3 linked regions of the Lepisosteus oculatus genome follow. Each later gene encodes a partner of the first gene's protein in a complex. Links are inferred from orthologs where the notes say so. Each region holds a gene or a part of one and is shown in the gene's direction. Other genes may lie near its edges.

Region 1 (7,690 bases):
TATTGACCATTGATGGAGATGGGGGATTTGAGATCCTGTGAGTGCCTGAAGTCCACAATTACCTCAAAGGTTTTGGGTGTGTTATAATCAGGTTATATGCATGAAGACATAAGATTAATAGTGCATATAAAATAAAAACAACATTTTTTCATATTTGTTCATTAGTAAGACAAGTCTTCTTCTGGTCAATTTGTAAAAACTATGTATGGACATGTCAACCTTGCTCTTTGGTCATTTGTAACCACCGCAACAATGATGCCTGGATCCAATGTGTGATAAATGTTTAATATAGTGTGTTAATATAGTGTGATATAGGCCACACTGCCTTTCTAAGCACGCATTGTATGTGTAACACTTTTAAAGAATGTGTAAAATAAAGACTAGGTGTGAAATCAGCTGATACACTGTGTTAGCCATATTTATATATGTTTCATGTTCTTGTATCTCCAGGCTGACCAAGGCGGACATCTTAATCGCCAAGGATGGGACATGCTGAGGAATGGTCAGTGTCCTTTCACCTCGAGGAGAAAAACCCTTGTATGTGTCTTGATATTAATACTAATAAAACCCGATTTCTGCATCCTTCCTTTGTGTTTGTGGTGAACTTGGAGGGGTGGGAAGGTGTTGCTTATGAATAGATTTTAAACAATTCGGACTTAAAAATGATCAGCCTCAGAGAATCTACTTGATCCTCTAGTATCTTTTGACCCACATGTGAAAAATTTGATTAAGACATCTTTCTTTCACCTTAGAAACATTTCCCGCATTAGGCAATTTTTATCAATGTCCAATGCTGAGTGCCTGATTCATGCATTCATAACATCAAGGCTTTATTCCTGCAACTCGTTACTATATGGGCTCTCTAACCCTCTTCTTAACAAGTTGCAATGCAGTATGTTAAAAACTTGGCAGCTAGGCTACTAACTCACACCAGGCTCTGGCAGCATACTGTATCACTCCTACACTTAAGTCTTTGCATTGGTTGCCTATACAGTTCCGTATTCAATACAAGATCTTGTTGTTGATTTTGTAGGCTCTAAACAATCTGTCTCCATCGTACCTCTCTGAAATCCTCCATGTTTTCACTCCCCCCCTGTAGACTCCATTCAGTTGAGGCCTGACATTTACTCACTGTCACCAGGACTAAATCACAGACTTTTGGTGACCGTGCCCTATCTGCAGCTACTCCAATGTTGTGGAATGGCCTTCCCCAGACTTTTGCGAGAGACAACATCTTTTAACTCTCTTCAAATCTAAACTTATAACTTACCTTTACTATTAGGTCTATGTCTGATTGCCTACAGTCAGTTTGTAAAAACCTGTGTGCTTTTGTTTTTTTTTCATTTACTTTTATTGTACTTTTCTTGTCTTTTTCTTTATTCATGATGTGCAGCATCCTTTGGATTGGAAAGGCACTTTATAAATAAAAGTTATTATTATCAGTCAATGGTAATAAAAGCCAGGTCTAAATGCACACGAAAAAGGTGATTAATCGATGACTCAAAACTGAAAATCTTTTGGAGTTATAATTGTTGTCTTCAAACCATTAAGCGAAAATGTAAATAAGCATAGAAATCCATTACAATGTGATTTCGTAGCGGCCAAAAAATGTATAGTACCAGTCACTGTGCTACGGAGGAGCTCAGCCAAAACATCTAATGGCAAGACATCGTGAATGTAAATAGAAGATCTTGGATACAGTAGCTTTATAAAAGACTGTCTAATCTGGTAGATATGATCTTTCTAAAATGAAGCGTTTTAGTTTTAAAAGAGTCTCAGGGAAAGACAGTATTAAATAATGCAGCCTTGCAGTCACAAAGAAACTAAACTTTGACCTGCTCTGAACTCATATTTACTTAATACTAAACCTTTTTTAAAATGTACTGTATGTATACCTAATGTAAATTTACAATCATACTTTTTTCTGTTTACTCTTAAATTGCCCAACTCCAATATTACTTCATCGCTGTAACCACTCTTATAAACAGAAAGGAATGAAGCCTCAGGTTTCTGCAGATAAGGGAGTTGTTACATTTACTGCCCTGAATTATCTAGCCAACCTTTTCACACTTTGTTGCTCTCAAACTCCTCTCTTTACCTCCCTGGAACCTGGATCGCTCTGTGATTCAGCTTCAAAGAGGAAAACCTAGCACTGCTATGCTCCAAGACTCTTTTTCGCATTTTTGAAGAAAGTTTCCATTCTGCCTAAAAATCTCTTTGCATTCAACGACCTTTACTGTTGTTTGACTGGATTTTCTCAACAGCTGGAACCTGTTCATTGAGGAAAGCTTAAATGTAGCTACTGTAGGTGTCGAATTCTTTGTGGTCATAGGCCTGTCAGCATCAATAGATCTCATAAACCCATAAGAATAATTACGGATTAGTGAAGGCCATTCAGCCTCTTTAGTAGGGATGGAGTCTTGTGTTGCCCAGGAATCAAACCCAGGCCAATTGACAATTCAGCTTGTCTACACCCAGTTATGAACTGAGGACCTTTTCTGTGTTAGGTGAACATATCCACTACATTATACTCAGCTAAATTATTTAATTCCTTTATTGTCCCATCTGGCATGTTTACACTGCGGGCAGGTACAAGACATAACACAGAACATAGCTTTTTACTAAAGGCCCATGGAGGGCACACCAAGTACTGAACCTTGATCTGTATTGTGGTTTAAGAACGAATGTGGAAAATTTAAAATCATCTTTAGATTTAGAAGTGTAGTGTGTGTGAATTTGATCTTATAGTATAAGGTTTGAGATTAGACACATTTAACTTATATACAAATATGGAGAGAATTGTATTAAGAAGTATTTAAAAGCACAAGCAGAATCCCAAATAATATGTCATTCAATACATATTAGTTGACTTTCAGTTTTAAGCAGTGGATTCAATTGCATGCTATACTCCTTGTTTAACGATAAATCTGAGTGTTCTTATGGTTATAATGATTGTGTTTACATTAGGTACAAATTAGTAACTACATTGTATCTAAACCAAAAGTCGAAAGCGCATGCGTGCACCGTCTGCAGCGTTGAACATTGTCATGAACTCTAAACCCAAAGTTTCAACTGCGCTTCTGTGCGCTGTCATTGCACAATGTATTAGGTTGTTCATACATTCAAAGTATCTTTGGCATATAGTACCTACGAGAACAATTATCGTGTTATGACGAGAAGGTACATTATTAGTACATAGTAAATTATCTCGTAATTACGAGACAACACATGGGATATACCTTTTCCTTGATAACAGGAACGCGCTTTCGTACTGCAGTGCTGTTTTTTGTTTGATACAACAGACGTCGCTGCAGGTCAGGTTTGAATAATCTCAGCCCTCTGGCGCAGATTTCTGAAGTTCTGCGCAGATTTCTGCAGTTCTGCATAGACCTGCTCAGCTCAGCTTTACTCTCTCCTGTGGCTGTATGATGTCAGGCAGCCTGTCCTGGCCGCAGCCAACGAGAAATTGCGGCTGGGAACCAACAGAAAGAGACACTGAGGGTATGAGAGATCTAGCTGTCAGATTCCAAGTGTGCTACACAACTTTTTGGTCCTAACATCAATAACAGCTTGAATCGACTCCAGCAAAAACAAAGAAATAAATAGTTATTCTATGGACGTTGTCATTTATTTTCTAACGCGAACCCGTGTATTCCCATAGAATTCTCACAGGCTTTATTACCAACAGCTATGTCACCCTGCAATTTACAACTCACAACTGGCAACCCACTGAAGCTCAACAGGTTTGAGCCTGGCCAGTAGCTGGTTGGGAGACCTCCTGGGAAAGGTACGGTTACTGCTAGAAGAGCTGTTACTAGTGACACCAGTAGAAGGTGCTCACCCTGAGGTCTGTGAAGGTCCTAACGCCCCCATATAGTGACGGGGGCGCCATACTGTAAGAAATGTGCCGTCCTTGGGATGAGGCGTAAAACCGAGGTCCTGGCTCCCCGTTCTCATTAAAAATCCTAGGGCGTTTCTAGAAAATAGTACAGGTGTTATTTTAACCTGACTAAAGCCCCCCCCGCTTTACCAATCTTTGCTTCCTAATACTCCCCATTTATGAAATAATTGGTGTGTGGTGAGCGTACTGGTGCACTACTGCTGCCGTCGCATCATCCAGGTGGGGCTGCACATTGGTGATGGAGGGGAGTCCCTATTACCTACCTGTATAGGTCTAGTAAAGTACCAAATTAGTGTAATTATCATTATATTTATTATTATTAATATTATTATTATGTATAAGAACAGTTAGTGAGATTCACGGAGTAAGGCAAGTAAGCGTGTGACAACACCAGAATGCGAACAATAGCAATTGTCCCCCGTTTTTTAATTAAAAATTAAAAATGAGTTAACCAACGCATCCGTGGTGTAAAACAGAAATGCTTTACCAGAATGAAAATGAGGAAGAAACCAGAGGACTCCAAATAAACAAGTGGTAAGGCCCTGATATGAATTGTATTTTTTCAAAACTATTCGTTTCACGTGTTCCTTTTTCTTTGACTTGTAGGGAACTTTTCTAATTCCGCAGCACAACAGCTAACTGATGCGTGACGTCACTTAACCAGAGCCGCAGTCGCTGCGCGGAGATCTCAACCGCTTCTTCCGGCAGGGCGCTCTGCGTGCAACACTGTTTCCCCTCCGCCGGAAACGCGTGTTACTGTTGAGATAAAAACACAGAAGCAATGCTGGACAGCTTTAAAGAAAGAGTTGGCGAGGTTTTACTACCTGGCGATGTTTTTTCGTTTGAATCACCAGGTTCCGAAAGTAATATACAAGATAAAGTTATTTGTGGACCCGGGCTGCGCCGTAATGGAGATGAAATCCTTGTTTGCAAAAGTGGCATTTTGCGTCACAAGGAGCCGAATCTGTACTGGATAGATTCCCAGCAAAAACGGGTAAAGAGTGGATATCCATCACAGCAGTTTTTCTGAGCGTAAAATATAATGTTTGGTATAACGTATGAACAACAGAAGTTCACTTGTTTAATTATTTTTAAGTTATTTAAAGAAGTTAATCTATATGAAAATGCTTGCAATCGCCCACGTGGTTGATGTCATTCATGTAGACATTTACACAAGAACAAGAACACATCTCGTTTCTGAGACCAGTATTCACCTGCATATATTGTCAACCTGTTTCTGTCTGCAGTGCGCTTCTTCTGCATAGTCACAAACTACTAATAGCAAAGTTCGATTTACTATTACCTAAAACACGTAGTACATCAGACGGGTCTCTGTTAGGTCTTTTAGATTTGTTTAATCATGCTGATATAATTTAATATTTTACCATATAAGAATGTTATTTGTATATGCTGCTTTAACTAAAGATGATTGCCTGAGGTGTAAAATGCTCTCACAGTACTACTGTGGGCTTTTAACGAGAATGTTTACAGCTGACCTATCTGGTTTAAGATTAAAGATAACCAAATGTGCTAGATGGGGCGAATGGTATTTTTAACCTTTCTTATTTTGAAATATTTCTTCTTGAGTTCAAGACTAGATGTGCTTTGGTTCTTCAGTATCTAGCAGACTGTTACCTCCCCTCCAGGCGGCCTCCTGTCAGCTGATTTCTGGTTTGCTGTGTTTCCACTCTTATTCCACACTCTGGCAAATACGGGGCCCTCTGTTGCTGCACCCCAATACTCCATAACCATCTCAGAATAACCAGGGACTCAGCCACACTGGGTGCTTTTAAATCTATCCTTATTTTCTTCAGTTATTTGGTTGTGATTGAGTTTTTTTCTGATTCTGCCGTGTAATGCTCATTAATTTTACTGTGACACGTGCTTTTTATATTTTACAAGTGCCTTGAGAATATTGCTCTTAAAGGTACTATTTAAAAGGAAAATGACAAATGTTCCCCTGATTTATGAGGGATACAGCTGCATTCAACAGGAGACCAGACATCCATGAGACATCTTCGGACTGATTTGCCCATAAACAGCAGGCTTTGCCCAGGCAAAACAAGTCTGGTGTATTTTACAGATCTGGCATTGTGAGAAATACCTTTTTTATATTTCAGTACGTCCCGGCGAAGGGGGAGTGTGTCATTGGTATTGTGACAGCAAAGTCCGGCGACGTTTTCAAGGTCGACGTTGGCGGAAGTGAACAAGCTTCTCTGTCCTACCTGGCTTTTGAAGGGGCAACGAAACGAAACAGGCCGAATGTTCAGGTACGTGCTCTGTAGTACGAGTACAGGGGCTGTGTGGTAGACTGGACGTTTCTGGGGAGGGGGCAGACTGTGAGGTTACCATATGTAGATGCACTTAGTGATCAAATTGTTCTGTCCGCCGGAGTGCGGGAGTACTACCGCTACCAAGTTAGCTACTGCGTTAAAATGGTTAAAAAGCTACAGTGCACAGGCTTTAAAATCAAAGAAAAAAGACCCAGAGTAATTTGGTTTTAAACTTAAATTACATTTTATGCTAAAAATGTTCCTACAAAAAAATAAATCATACTGACAGGCTTCTCATGGCAGCTAATCTTTATCTGTGTATTACAAAGAAACTGTTTTATGTAGACCATAAAAGCCATGCAGCGTCATATAAATAAATTGCTTGGTTCCGACATTTAACTGGCAGCGTTTGTCTCCTGCAGTACAATGACAGAGACATAACTGCAGAATTTTGTCAGTGCTACTTAAGCAAAGTTGTAGCTCGTTTCTGTGATTAGGCTATAACTCTTCAAACGGGTTTCAGGAAGTTTTTAGTCATTAGTTTTTCTCAAATATAATAGGTTGTCTAGTAATAGGAAACAAAAGTACAATGTTTGAAGCCATTAGAACAAAAATGTGTTGTGGGTGTTCCGAGTCCCAGATGGGAATCTGAGTAGGCGCTGCAGTGTGGGTGAGGTGGGTGCGGGCTCAGAAAGCAGCCGTCACACCATACCTTTTGGGAGCAGCTGGACTACTCCCTACACCACCAGTTCTTCTATCGTGACCAGCTCTTGGGCTGTGTAATTCCAGGTTCTTGTCTACTATAGAAGAAGGAAGAAGGAGTAGAATGTCCATGTCTCGCTGTGTCTTATTTCAACCCTAAAGGCAATTTAAAACCCCCAAATCTGTTTTTGTGGATATGCCATTATATATTACCATCACGAGCTACAGTTATCTTAGGTCACACCTTCTGTAGTAGGGGTTCCCAACTTCATTTCAGCTTTGCTCTATTACATAATTAGACCCCTGACTTCAATCTTTTGGTTTCAATTCCTAAGCACGTTGGAGGTTGCCTTTCAACTGCTGTGTTTCGCAAGTAGCATAAGATCTCCAGCTTCCGAGTCGAAAAAGAGAACTTTCTGTAAAGCACTTTTAAAGGCGCTATGTAAGTTGATTCATTCAGTTGTTTGCAATCTAATGAAGCATCATCCTAGCTGAAGTGAAGATCTCAGTTTGAGTGTAATCCAGCCTGTGCGTGGGACCAAAGATGTTTTCGTTCCGAGTTGTAAAGCTATTCTGGAAATGGAGTAAATTTTATTGAAATAAAAAATGTCAATTGAATATATTCTGTTCATATTAAAGATTTGAGTTGTGGTGCATACAAAAATAAAGCTTGAACAGCAGAACGTTATAATGCTATTGTTCATTTTGAAAGCAGGCATCAACTCGGGGAGAGTTAGATCAAGGGTTCGGTAACAGATGTTTAACTTAGACAATTGAAATGTTTTAGGTATTAATAGAATCTTCCTCAAAATAG
Region 2 (7,365 bases), on another chromosome or scaffold:
AGGAGAAATTAACTTCACAGAAAAGGATGGAAACCACCTGATCCTGAAACACACTGCATGGGGACATGCTGTATCAGACAGGTGAGAAAGCCCAGCAGTGTGCTGAGCTGCTGTCCGTACTGAGCTCAGGGAAGGCTGAATCTGCACAGGCTGTCTCTCGCTCCCCTGATCCCACAACTCTGGGGTGTGGCTGGGAGCTGCTTGCATCCCAATGTTGCCCTGGGCAACCAGCGCATTCGGACAGACTCCTGGCCTCCTTCTGACCCCGTGTGACCTCACTCAGGACGAATCTCCCCAGGGCCACTGATGCTTCTTCAATCACACAGACCCTCCCAATCTCAGTCAGGCCCCCGAGCAGACTGCTTCAGCTGATGGCATTAATTCAGATAGCTGTACTCATGCCAGCCTCCTGCTGCATCAGGGCACCCTTCTTCGTGCTCCGTAATAATTCAGACAGCTCCATTTTCAATCAGCCTGCACCGCTACTTCATCCTCTCTCGTTAAGGCCTCGCTCCCGCCGAGCCCTCCTGGAGACTTTCAGGCTCCTCTGAGGACCTGCGCGGGCAGCTCTGCCTGCCCTTTCACCATGGCCCCAAGAGCTCAGCGACCACAGCCAGACAGCAGCAGGACGAAGGGAGAGAAGACCACGGAGAGGAAAAGGGAAATGAGAGCTGTGGAGCTGAGAGACAGAGAAAGGGGGAAGGAGAGTGTGGGGAGGCGGAGAGAGACAGTTGGGAGGCAGCGAGAGACAGAAGAGAGGCAGAGAGTGGCAGTAGGGGGCCGTAGAAAGGCAGAATGAGACAGGAGGGAGGCAGTAGAGAGGCAAGAGAGAGGCAGTAGGGGGGCAGAGAGAGGCAGTAGGGGGGCAGAAGGGAGGGGTTGGGGCACAGAGAGGCACAGAGAGAGTGAGATGAGAAGCAGCGATGAGGGAGGAGTGAGAGAGGACAGGAGAGGGGAACAGGAAGAGAAGAGTGGGACTCGTGTGGACAGAGGCGGGTGAGCAGGCACCTGGGGGTCCTCGGCCGGGTTGATGATTTGGCCCTGCCTGTCCATCACGCGGTACACCGGGATGCCCGAGATGACATTAGGCTGGATGAACTCCAGGTGATCCACAAAATCCGCGGACGCCCCGGGGAACTGAGGCTTCTCATCCAGGGAATCGAAGGTCTGCTGCCTCAACACCGCCTGGAAGGGAAGAAACAGACATTAATAATGGACACAGAGCAATTCAAACATGAACAGTCCGCACTCCTGCACACTGACAGCACAGAGAGACAGAGGGGTTAAAACACACACAATCCACACTCCTGCACACTGACAACACAGAGAGACAGAGGGGTTAAAACACACACAATCCACACTCCTGCACACTGACAGCACTGAGAGACAGAGGGGTTAAAACAAACAAATTACATAGTTGCACGCTGACACTACATTATTCAACGAGACCAACTTATAGTGTTCGGTTACTATTATTTTATTAAAATAATAATGACGACAGGGGTTTGGGAAAAATCCGAGATTCACGCACACCTCATCTTCCCTCGGCAACCGAACACATATTTAAGGTGACCCTATTTTACAGGCGAAACGCCTCCGCCCCCTAAATTGACCAATCAGCAGCCCAGACCACCCAGCCTCGAGCCAAAGACTCGAGGTGATCCCAAAGTTATTCTAACAACTCACAATCTCGGAACAACACAAGCGCTTTTGCAGATAAAGCGATATCAAGACAGGCTTTCCATTTATTAGACTGCTGTGTGTACACGAACTGTGTTTTTGTATATATACGCAGTTAGTCAAAGCGGTGGATTGTGATGTAGAATCCATTTAGCAGTACAACGATAAACACATTTCAGATAAACACAATCGCACTATAAAGGTAGCCTTGTGCGTAAAAGATGACAAAAGCAGACTTTTTTCAATCCCGTCATTATAGTAGTAATCATAACCTCATCACAATTTTCAAGACAACAATATCAACAACAACCATATTAATAACAACAATGCAATGTATATATTCACAACTAATAATAATAGCAATGAAACGTAGCTCTATTATTAATCTATACATGTTAAAACACCTGTCTGATTACTGCAAAAGCCGCAGTTGAAAGCCGTATTGAATTTCAGTGAACGTGGCTTCTCCACGGTTTATCGACGGGATTGGCCGTGAAAGGGGGAGAATCGTCACTCACATTAACACGGAAAGCCCTGCCCGGGCAATGTCGTAATTTGGGATAAAATCCGGTGTTGTGACAGATTGATTTGAATCCGATTCTGCACAGACTCCTGAGACCTCCAGCCGCCGCCATCTTGGATCTTGGGTCTGACAAGCTGCCCTGTGGAGCTCCAGGCACCTCAATCGTCAAGGTCCCAGAAAACACACGAGTGGCAACAAAAAAACTCAAAACAACTCAAAATATGAAAGATGGAGACATATATTTATTTTCATTGCGTAAAAAATAAGTTTATTAGTAAATCATGTTTATAAAAGAGCGCTAAAAGGCGTGTCGTTGATTATCTGCTTTGTTTGTATTCAGGCATCGCTGTAGCCTTCTATCACGACTTTCATGGATGGACCCAATTACTAGGCGCTGTGCGTCACGTGATTCTGTAAGCGGGTTTTTCTTTTATTTCTTATTTAAATACAAAAAAAGAAACTACAACAAACAAGGGTATGCACATTCAGATGTCACAACATGACAGCACAAAGGCAACATCTAATGAATGGAACAGAATAACAACTCCATGGCTAGCAGCCCTATCACCCTGCAGCTCACAACTGGCAGCCCACTGGAGCTCAGCAGGTGTGAGCCTGATCAGTACCTGGATGAGAGACCTCCTGGGAAAGCTAAGGTTGCTGCTGAAAGAGGTGTTAGTGGGGCCAGCAGGGGGTCTTCGTAGTCTGTGTGGGTTCTAATGCCCCAGTATGGTGATACTGTAAAAAGGGGACATCCTTCGGATGACATGTAAAACTTAGATCCTGACTCTCAGTGGTCATTAAAAATCCCAGGGCATTAGGTTGTTACCCTGGCGTCCTGGCCAAATTTCCCCCTGGCCTTTACCAATCACGGCCTCCTAATAATCCCCATCTCTGAACTGACTTAATCACTCTGCTCTCCTCCCCACCAAAGCTGGTGCGTTCTGGTGCATCATCCAGGTGGGGCTGCACACTGGTGGTGGTGGAGGGGAGTCCTCATTACTGTGAATCATTACCTTCTAAATCAGTTAAAACGTTATCAACAGTACAGAGGTTGCGTGGTGTTAGGGGTCACATTAAATAATATGTTTATATGGTAAATGATTTCTGTAAACCAACTCACCAAGCATATTTTTAAATATTTTTAATGAATCTGAGTATAGCTTAAATGAATTAGAATTTTTTTAAAGCACTGTGGTCTTTATACAATACAGTATAGTATTTATAAATGATCCTTCAAAACAGATATAAAGTTCTGAGCCACAGGTCAGTTGGAGCTGTTCGAAGCTAATTGCTTACAGTATATACAACATTGTTTTGGATTGTTTTAAATGTTAAATTTAGATTTTGATATTATTTTATATTTTATTAGACCTGATTTGGATAAAGGATATGTTTTTATTATTAATCGGTTAATTATTTTGGCAAAATACAAAATACATCCAAAAAAAGTAAATGGTCTAATACTGCTCCCTCTATTAATACTTTCAAGGTAGAAGTCCTTTTTTATTTAAATTCTATTAGAAATGTTAAAAATCAAAAGGCAAGACATTCAATGGAATTATGTAAAAAGTTTAATTTTCAGCTTTTATAATTGTGAATTCCTCTGGCTGTGAAGTGTGTCTATTTTTGTATCTGTATTAATATTTTGTCTCATTTTTGTATTCCTGATGCTTAAATAAAACATTAATACAATAAAAATGTTTTTGACTATTTCTAATTGCAGTAGAACATCCCTCTGAGAAGCATCTTGACTCTTATAAAATAATAATGAAACAAATATGGTGTTTAAAAAAGTTTAACGATTTAAATGATAAAGTGATTAAAAATATCTAATATCTAACTGAATTTCAGATCTGTTGTTTTTACATAGGAATTGTTCAAAAACATAAAAAATGTACAAAAACACTAGCAGTATTCACAGAAAATGTGTCTGTCAATTTGACGTTATAGGTTTAAATGGTCACAAAATTCAGCACAGTGGTGAACGTCATTTACCAGCGCCTTTGTTTAAGATTCTGGAAGGGCTCTATTTAGTGACGTATTAGGTCTGCGCCGCAGAAACACCGCACTGCTTGGTACACACGATGGAAGTGGAGGAGAGCTCGACTCACCCCACCACAGCTCTGAGGGAGTTCGGCTGCGAACAGAACCTGCTGTCAAGACCGGATGGTTCGGCCTCGTTCGTGCAGGGTATGTTCATGCTTTACATTTTTTTAAAAAAGGATTTAATTGCAAGCGCTGTCTTCACGCGAGTCCACTTGGGCACAAACAAGGTTTCGTTGTTTCTTCCCTCATGCTTCATTTTTATCTGGTTCTGAATGAGTTCGGAAGGTCCTCTTCTAGCTCTATAGTGCGTTTGGGCCCTATGTTATGCACTCTCTGTGCCCGTGCCGCTGTCTTGACCGCTCACTCTGTGCCCGTGCCGCTGTCTTGACCGGTCACTCTGTGCCCGTGCCGCTGTCTTGACCGCTCACTCTGTGTCTGTACACATGCCGCTGTCTTGACCGCTCACTCTGTGCCCGTGCCGCTGTCTTGACCGCTCACTCTGTGTCTGTACACATGCCGCTGTCTTGACCGGTCACTCTGTGCCCGTGCCGCTGTCTTGACCGCTCACTCTGTGCCCGTGCCGCTGTCTTGACCGCTCACTCTGTGTCTGTACACATGCCGCTGTCTTGACGGGTCACTCTCTGTGTGTGTGTCTGTACGTGCGGCTGTCTTGACCGCTCACTCTGTGTGTCTGCAGGAGACACCAGTGTCCTGGCTGGGGTGTACGGGCCAGCGGAGGTGAAGGTCAGTAAGGAGATTTATGATCGGGCTACAATGGAGGTTCTGATCCAGCCGAAAGTGGGCCTGCCAGGTGAGAGCTAACCGCCTGTCTCTGCTCTGCACACACCACACTGCATCAGGGTATACAGGCGGAGAGTGTTGTGTAGCGCTGACCAGCAGTGCGCTGTATTCTTTATTATCTTCAGCCATACTCTCTTTGTCTGCAGGCCATACGCACCAGCAGTACCACCTTGCAGTCTGCAACCTTATCTTGTCAGGTCTTAGAAACTAAGCAAATCTGGAACTGGACAGGACAGTGATGGGAAAACAAGGCTTCTGCAGGATGTAGCACTTGCGGACCAGTAGGGGGAACCCTTCCCTCTTCAAGTTAATTTCCAATACAAAACTAAATGTTTCATTAAAAAAGTCCTAGCATGCTGACAGGGGACACTGTGCAACAGGAGGTTCTGTCCGTCTGGTGAGATTTTAAACTGAGGTTCTGAATACTTGATTGTTAAAGATACCTTGTACTGTTCATCTCAGTAGATTAGTTAACACAAGAGGTTTGACCAAATTCCACTCTGGTCTGAAACAGTCTGCCCTACTTAAAGTTCCCCTTTATTCAGCTGGTGAGGTAGTTTCTCTCTCCTACTGATGTGCAGTTATATATGTTGCACTTTGGGATGAAAGGCTCAACATTGTGTAATAAACACATGACTAAACTGACCCTGACAGTGTGGAGAACACCCCCAGAAGAAACATTTGATGTTTGCAATATCACCTTGCAAGTGTTAGATGTCCAATACTACTGTTCGCCACAGTGTGGCAGCAGCTTCATGTATAATAACCAAACACTGATCGCTACCCTGATGGGCTGCATTAACCCTCTGCTGTCTGTGTCCTCCTCCTTCTCATCTCCTTCTCCCTTCTTTTCTTTTAACCCACCTCACCACTTTATTCTTTTGTTTCTCTCCATGTTTTTCTCTCTTTTATCTCTGTCCCGTCTCCCTCCTTCTGTCTCGAAGGTAATGAGAGCTCTAGCAGTGCAGGGTGTGGTTCACAGCTGCTTTGACGATTCAGTGCTTTGTTGTCTCACTTTGAAAATTGTCGTCCTTTGTTGCTCAAGCAAAAGCCTGGTGGTGGTGTTTTAAAGTTTGTGAACGAGAGGTTGTCAAGACTCTCTCTGTCTCTCCCTCTCTCCCGGTCTGAGTGTGCAGGAGTGGCCGAGCGCTCTCGTGAGCAGTGCGTGCGAGAGACGTGCAAGGCGGCTCTCCTCTCCTCTCTCCACCCGCGCTCCTCCCTCACCCTCGTCCTGCAGGTCGTCCATGATGATGGGGCAGTATCCTTCACAATGTGTCTGTGTGCAGGAAGACCAGTCTGTGTGTCTCTGTCTGTCTCTGTGTGCAGTAAGGCCAGTCTGTGTGTCTCTGTCTGTCTCTGTGTGCAGTAAGGCCAGTCTGTGTGTCTCTGTCTGTCTCTGTGTGCAGTAAGGCCAGTCTGTGTGTCTCTGTCTGTCTCTGTGTGCAGTAAGGCCAGTCTGTGTGTCTCTGTCTGTCTCTGTGTGCAGTAAGGCCAGTCTGTCTCTCTGAGTCCTGTTCCTTAGTGAGGACCCCAGCTGTTGGCGTGCAGTTTGAATGCTGCTTGTATGGCCTTGATGGACGCGGGACTGCCCATGCGCTGCCTTTTCTGTGGGGTGACCTGTGCCATTGACCCTGAGGGCCACATCCACACTGACCCCACTGCTGCACAGGAGAGGGTACTGTACAGTGCACAGTGTGTACAACCTTGTACATACACTGACCCCTCCAACACTGACTGCTTCACTGACTCAACAAGTGCCCCTAGACACTGGTCCGTACGGTGTATTGACTGGACCCCTAGGGATCCCCACACACTGACCAACACTGCCCCCCTAGTCTGAACCTCCTTTCCACCCATTTTTTTTATGTGACAGTCTCTCTTTCCCCATCTCTAAATCACAGGAGAGCCGCGCAGTGATGACATTTGCCATTGACAGTGCAGAGCGCAGAGTGATGATGTCATCGACCAAAGGGTCCTTCTCAGTGAGTGAGGTAAGCTGCTGGAGCTCTCAGTCTTGTGTTTGTGCACTGCAGCTCCTTTCTGTAATAACCCAGTGTCCTCTGCCTCTCCAGCTGCAGCAGTGCATCGCAGTCAGTCAGCGGGCATCAGGGAAGATCTTCCAGTTCTACAGAGACTCTGTCAGTAGGAGATACTCCAAGATGCTGTGACTCCGCCTCTGCTCCTCTCTCCCTTTCTGTGCCTTTTTGTATTAATTATAAATAAGACTGGTTCATGTGATGGTATTTGATGTGCTTTGTTACACTGACTCTCTAAAGTCTCTAAACCCTGGTTTGGTTTGAAGTACTCTGAGC
Region 3 (5,991 bases), on another chromosome or scaffold:
GCTGCGCTGACAGAGAGGTGAGCTTTTGTCTTCAAGGAGAAATGTGATAAAGGGGAGCAAAATCCATCTACAAATTGTTTAAGTGCAGAATTTCACAAACAAAAAGACCTGAAAAAACACAGAGACAACAGGGAAAATCTTAAAAGACAAAGTTCCTCCTGTTCAACATCTTGATAAATGAGATTTTTGAAACTCTAGTAACTTATTATCACCAGATATGGTATAATTCATCTAGAATGCCCTGGATTGAGGTGCTATATTAGAAAAAAACTGACTGATCGCATTGACCGATACTGAATATGACGGACGCTGCTCCCTTTCTGGGCTGCCATCCCAGAAAGCTCACTTGGCAGAGCAGGAGGGTGGAAGAGGAGAGAGGGAGGCGTCGAGGAGACACTCACCCCAGGTCCAGCCAGATCTGCCTGCACTCCAGGTCCGGCTCCAGGCCCGCCTCCTCGTGCCCTCCGAAGTAAGTGACGTACAGACGTTCGATGGGGATCCCGAACTCCTTCGTCAGCAGCTCCAGGGCCATCTGGCACGCCAGGTGCTACAGCAGACAGACACAATCAGACTCATTCGGACAGCAGGGGGCCCTCCCAGCAGATCCTCTGCTGACAAACAGCTGTTTTTATTTTAAAAAAATAAAATTGGAAGGTGATTCAGTAAGAATCCCCCAAGACAAAGGGTTAAAGAAATAATGAATAAAAAAGAAGCCAGGAATGCCAAGGGAGGTGCAGTGGTTAGTGTTGTTGCCTGGCTGTGCTGGGGCCCTGGGCTCAGTTCTGGACCTGTACGTTCTCTCTGTGTTTGTGTGGGTTTCCTCCCACAGTCCAAAGACATGCTGGTGGGTTAACTGGTTTCTGGGAAACTGCCCCCGACGTGAGTGTGTGTGTCTGTGTGTGCCCTGCAATGGACTGGCGTCTAGTCCAGGGTGTGTTCTGCCTCGCACCCACTGACTGCTGGGAAAGACTCCAGTTTCCCATCGACCCTGAGCTGGATAAAGCTGCTAGAAAATGGATGGATGGAATAAACTAGAAACATTAGCAAAGCTGCAGCTTGGGGGTTCCAGACTGGGGCTCCCGGGGTGCGCCCCTCACCTTGAAGTAGTCCCCGAAGGACCAGGAGCCCAGCATCTCGAAGAAGGTGTGGTGGTAGACGTCCTTGCCCACGTCGTCCAGGTCGTTGTGCTTGCCGCCGGCGCGGATGCACTTCTGCGTGTTGGCAGCGCGGCGCAGCTTGGCCATGGGGTGGGCGGGGTCGATGGTGTTCAGGAAGATGGGCTTGAACTGCGCGGGGAGAGAGCGAGAGGGAGACTGAGGACAGGCCGCCGAGAGAGGGGACCAGAGCCAGAACGCGGGGGAGGAAGAACGAGAGTCCGCTCGTGCCAGAGAGGGACGCAGGCATGCCCCCTTCTCCAGTTGTGGGCGCCCTTGCAGAGCGAGGGGTTCCCAGACCCGGACGTGGGTGCTCAGTGACCGGGGGGACACCTGCCTGGTTCATGCCGGCGTTGGCGAAGAGCAGCGTGGGGTCATCCAGCGGGATGGTGGAGGAGGAGTGCACATACTGGTGCTCGTGCCTCTGGAAGAAGGCGATGAACCTCTCCCGGATCTGCGCGGCCGTCAGCGACGAGTCCATCGTGGAAGCAGCTTCTGGAAGGGCGGGACAGAGAGGGGCGCGCGGGGTCAGAGAGGGCGGCAGGCCTGCGCCCCCGGGGCATTCCCCAACCTGTCGGAACCTGTTCCCAGCAACAGCCCACCTGGGAACAGCTGGGCTGCAGCAAATCTCCCCAGACACAATAAAGACTAAACTGCCAAAGAATGACGTCACAGTCGAGCTCTTCGTCTGGATGCACACAAGCAGGGAGAAACGAGCGCTGCCTTCTTGCAAATAACTTATACCTGCTTCTCTCCTCAATGAACTTCAAGAGCACACGATAGTGCACGTTAACAGCGCAGCCTCGCTCCCTCTGAACTGCTCAAGCACTCACACCCCAGGTGACCCTGGCCTCCCTTACACCTTGCTCTCACGCACTTCAGTGACGAGCCGGCGAGCAACAGGCCTGCAGGCGGCACCTCGTCCACGCCTGTGCGGGCAGCTCTGCAGACACCCCCCCGCGAGGACTCGGCGGGGCTTTTAAAACACGCCGCGCTGTCACGTGATGCGACAGGGCACTGCATGGTTTTTACCCGCGGGGGGGTGTCCACGTTTCGCGAGTGTAGGCTTTGCAGAAAGTGTCCAAATCGTCACACCTCACCGCTGGAATCGATTCGATCGCGTCTTCAACCCGCCCGCCTCTACCCTGAGCTTCACCTCTGCAGCTTCCGAACAGCAAGACTGCGCTGAACCCCGCAAGGACTTGACTCTCGGCTCTTTATTCCTGTAGTGCATGCGCTACTTCTGAGAGCAAATATATGTACAATCACAGTAGTTACTTACGATAACACTGCCTTTTTTTTTTGTGGAGACGTGATAAGGAATAATGACGTCTGCACTTTTATTTGCTGAAACATATGACTGAATGATCATGTTTTCGTGGTGCCACAAAAACACCGCCGCTTCTGACAGCAGGCTTACGACGCAATCGAGCGTCGGACATTAATATCACGGTCACAAACACAAATTATATTGTATGCATCTTCTACCTGCACAGAACGATCCACCAGTTACGGAACAAAATGTCTCACATTCGCTCGTACTGTAACATCAGAAATAATCCATCAGAAACCTTTATGTGGGTTCAGACAAAAGAAATCAGATTTATAGAAGCTACGTTAGAGTCACCTGACCAAAATAACCCTCAACAACCAGGCAGAGCTCGTAATAGCTTATCATAATGATACATAATCAATAAAACCACACATATTAGGAACGAACACATAAAATCTAGCCTTTAATTCTCAAAAAAGAAGCACAATACAGTAGACATAACTCACATGTAGTCTGAAACCCTCCAATCTCCACACGCTCAGCAGACCACTGCCTCGCACCGGCAAAACCACACGCCTTACCCCTTTGCCCCGCCTTTCCCTGGTGGCCATTGGTTCGCTGCAGCAGGAAGTTAACTGTTTCTCGGTGCGGATTGGCTGCACGGGATGTCAGTCTTACGCAGAGGCACAAACCGGTTATTTTCGGCCGCGCGGAGACGCCGAGTGCGGCTGATGCAATTTATCCGTAAGTCGGCTCGTGTGGAAGAGCTGCAGCGCATAGCGCGTACTGCAGATCTGTCATTAACCCGGTGTGGCGCCCACGTACTCGGACTTTCAGGGCTTTATACAGCTGAAACACGAGTTTTTAAAAAGGCAGTGTTAATAACCTTCCATTCTAATGTTATGCATGTTCGTTGCATGCACATAGGTCTTGAAACAACAATAGTTTTAAGAAAATAACGCTCAGTATACAGTCTGTTTTTGCTTGTAGTCCTTAACACGCAGGGACACAACATGCAGAAAAAAATAGGGTGGGTACTGATCACGCTCCAAAGAGCTGGACAGCAATACTGCTGGCTTGTCGTGATCTCATCAGATCTCACAACCTCATCAGAGCTGGGCATGGCCAGTACTGGGGTGGGAGCCCTCTGAAGGAAACAGGTTGCTGCTGTAACAGGTGTTGGTACTCCAGCAGGAGGCGATCTTTCACCTGGCTCAAAGTATGCAAACCGATGCCCCAGTATGGTGACTGGCAGCACGGTGCTGTAGGACCCTCACATATGACCTTACACTAAGGCTTGGTCATGAAGGATCCCACAATAGGCCTCATAAGAGGGTGTCATCTTGGTGTCCTGTCTAATTTAATTTAGATCAGGGGCATCTCCAATCTGGCCTACCTACTGGTTAAGCAGTGGTCTTATTAGGGTACAGTGGTACAGTAGTTAGCTTTGCTATAGTGTAGTGCTTGGAGTCTGGGTTCCATTCCTGGGTGTGCTTCCTGTGTGGGTTTCCTCCCACAGTCCAAACACAAACTGGCAGCTTGGAAAGTTGGCCCTGGTGCGAGTGTGTCCTGCCTTGTATCCCTTGCTTGCCGGGATTAAAAAATACTTACATATATTAGAATAAAAAACTAAATCTTGTAAATGCCGTCTCTACATTTTATCATCTGTTGCCCTTTCTCGGGAAGTAACGTTGTGACGTCATACGAAAACGTTTTGCTCGTCAAAATTACTAACGGCCATGATCTCGAAAAGTCAGTATTTACAACAGAAACTCATACATCTAGAATAACTTAATATACTGCATGCCGTATCGGCGCGGAAAGGCAATTATATCCGGCGCACATCCCTCTCCTCCAAAACCTTCGTTCGGAGGTCTTTCCGTATCCCATGAACCTCTGCCCGCAGTGTACAGGAAGTGTAATCTACAAAAGACTATTGCGCACTGTTGTCTATGGTATTTCCACACCAGCCATGCCGGTGGATACCAAGCGAGTGAGGGGTCCAGATGAGTCTCAGTCTCCGTTACTTTTCGTCCTCCCGAGCACCAGGAAGCCTGAATGTCCGCAGGAAGGCAGGGAGGACGGGAGGCAGCGGAGCCAGGCCGACGTGCGGCCCGTATTTGCGCGATGCGGACTGATCAGCCAGGCAAAGGGGTCTGCCTACATCGAGGCGGGGAACACGAAGCTGATCTGCTCGGTGTACGGACCACGGGAGACCGACAGGAAGGACGAGGTGGACATGAAGTCCGGCAGGCTGGTGTGTGACTTTCGCTTCGCCCCGTTTTCGTGCCCGAAGAGGGGCTCCTGGATCCAGGGCAGCGAAGAGAAGGATCTGTCTCTGGGGATGCTGGAGAGCCTGCTGCCCGCAGCCTGTCTGCACAAGTACCCCCGCTCGCAGATCGAGGTCAACGTGGTGGCGCTGGAGCACGACGGCTCGGTTCTGGCCCACGCCGTCACCTGCGCCTCCCTGGCGCTGGCGGACGCCGGGATCGAGATGTACGACCTGGTCCTGGGCTGCGCGCTGAGGCAGGACGGGCCCTCCTTCCTCATCGACCCCACTTTCGCGGAGGAGAGCGGCGCCCAGTCCGCCGGGTCTGGAGAGAACCAGGGCAGGGTGACTGTGGCTCTGCTGCCCAGCCTCCACCAGGTGTCGGGGCTGCAGTCGGACGGGGAGATGGCGGAGGACACGCTGGTGGGGGCTGTGAAAGCCTGCATCGAGGGGTGCCAGCGCCTGTACCCCGTTATCCAGCAGGCCTTGGCGAGGGCTGTGCGGAGGAAAGCGCCTCCGACAGCCGTCTGAGGGCGAACTTGCTGGAGCTGCCGGACAGCGAGTGAACTTGAAGACGCGCTTCTTTCTGTCGGCGAAGCGTTTCTCAGAGACGAGATATTTATTTTTGTCATATACATCACGGACGATTTGTGCCGTCTGATTTTTCTATTAAACGTTCCTGTGAGTCAGTTCGTTTGCTTTTCCTTTTTCTTTTCCCGTGCGACAAACGCAAAACTGTATTTTGCAAAAACACTGAACACGTAGAAAGTGAGGATCCCTCGAGATCCAGTGACACCGACATCAGGGAATTATTCCCGACTCTGTTTTGTATGGATGTGTGTGTGTGTGGGAGTTGATCCTCCTGAATTGTCCAAAACTATTTTCATTCATAAAAACTTGATCGTTTATTCAGATACTTGTTTTCCTTTCAAATGGACACCTGACACACTTGAATGAAGCTCTTGAGTAAATCAGAAGTCTGTCTATCAAGAGACAGTTTTGTGTGTGTGCAGTGTGACTGGTTACAGACCCTGATCAACACTAATCTTGGACTCATGAAGGCTATTTTCTGTCAATGAGTCTACAAACTTGTTCACCATGGTCTTTGAAAGCAGAACTCCATGTTCAGTATTTCCTTTTAGATTTCTGAAAATGTTTTGCCAGTGTATACTTACAGGTGTGATTCAGAAATATTTTAGTTACCTCTTGAGTATATCTGCTCCAATAGCAGTAGTTAAAAGTACCCTCTTGAGACTATAACTAGATTCCAGTGATCAATTTGTTCTAAGGTAGAA

The links.
Region 2: exosc3 (region 1) and exosc5 share a complex: the UniProt entries of both Homo sapiens proteins name them as parts of the RNA exosome core complex. The link is inferred for Lepisosteus oculatus from reciprocal best matches to the Homo sapiens genes EXOSC3 and EXOSC5.
Region 3: exosc3 (region 1) and exosc6 share a complex: the UniProt entries of both Homo sapiens proteins name them as parts of the RNA exosome core complex. The link is inferred for Lepisosteus oculatus from reciprocal best matches to the Homo sapiens genes EXOSC3 and EXOSC6.

The regions. Positions count from the first base shown.
Region 1 is NC_090696.1:33,368,973-33,376,662, reverse strand, and holds the start of exosc3 (exosome complex component RRP40), read left to right. Parts: upstream 1-4,657; 5' UTR 4,658-4,682; coding exon 4,683-4,895; intron 4,896-6,021; coding exon 6,022-6,171; intron 6,172-7,690. Other genes in the region: probable pancreatic secretory proteinase inhibitor, read left to right, coding at 451-496; myosin heavy chain, clone 203-like, read right to left, coding at 4,590-4,657. UniProt on the Homo sapiens protein: Non-catalytic component of the RNA exosome complex which has 3'->5' exoribonuclease activity and participates in a multitude of cellular RNA processing and degradation events.
Region 2 is NC_090698.1:6,248,929-6,256,293, reverse strand, and holds exosc5 (exosome complex component RRP46), read left to right. Parts: upstream 1-4,256; 5' UTR 4,257-4,290; coding exon 4,291-4,396; intron 4,397-4,949; coding exon 4,950-5,063; intron 5,064-6,189; coding exon 6,190-6,311; intron 6,312-6,587; coding exon 6,588-6,728; intron 6,729-6,954; coding exon 6,955-7,044; intron 7,045-7,125; coding exon 7,126-7,221; 3' UTR 7,222-7,291; downstream 7,292-7,365. Other genes in the region: bckdha (2-oxoisovalerate dehydrogenase subunit alpha, mitochondrial), read right to left, coding at 1,009-1,185, 2,199-2,315. UniProt on the Homo sapiens protein: Non-catalytic component of the RNA exosome complex which has 3'->5' exoribonuclease activity and participates in a multitude of cellular RNA processing and degradation events.
Region 3 is NC_090715.1:1,374,374-1,380,364, reverse strand, and holds exosc6 (exosome complex component MTR3), read left to right. Parts: upstream 1-4,357; 5' UTR 4,358-4,399; coding exon 4,400-5,227; 3' UTR 5,228-5,385; downstream 5,386-5,991. Other genes in the region: aars1 (alanine--tRNA ligase, cytoplasmic), read right to left, coding at 402-547, 1,098-1,286, 1,492-1,635. UniProt on the Homo sapiens protein: Non-catalytic component of the RNA exosome complex which has 3'->5' exoribonuclease activity and participates in a multitude of cellular RNA processing and degradation events.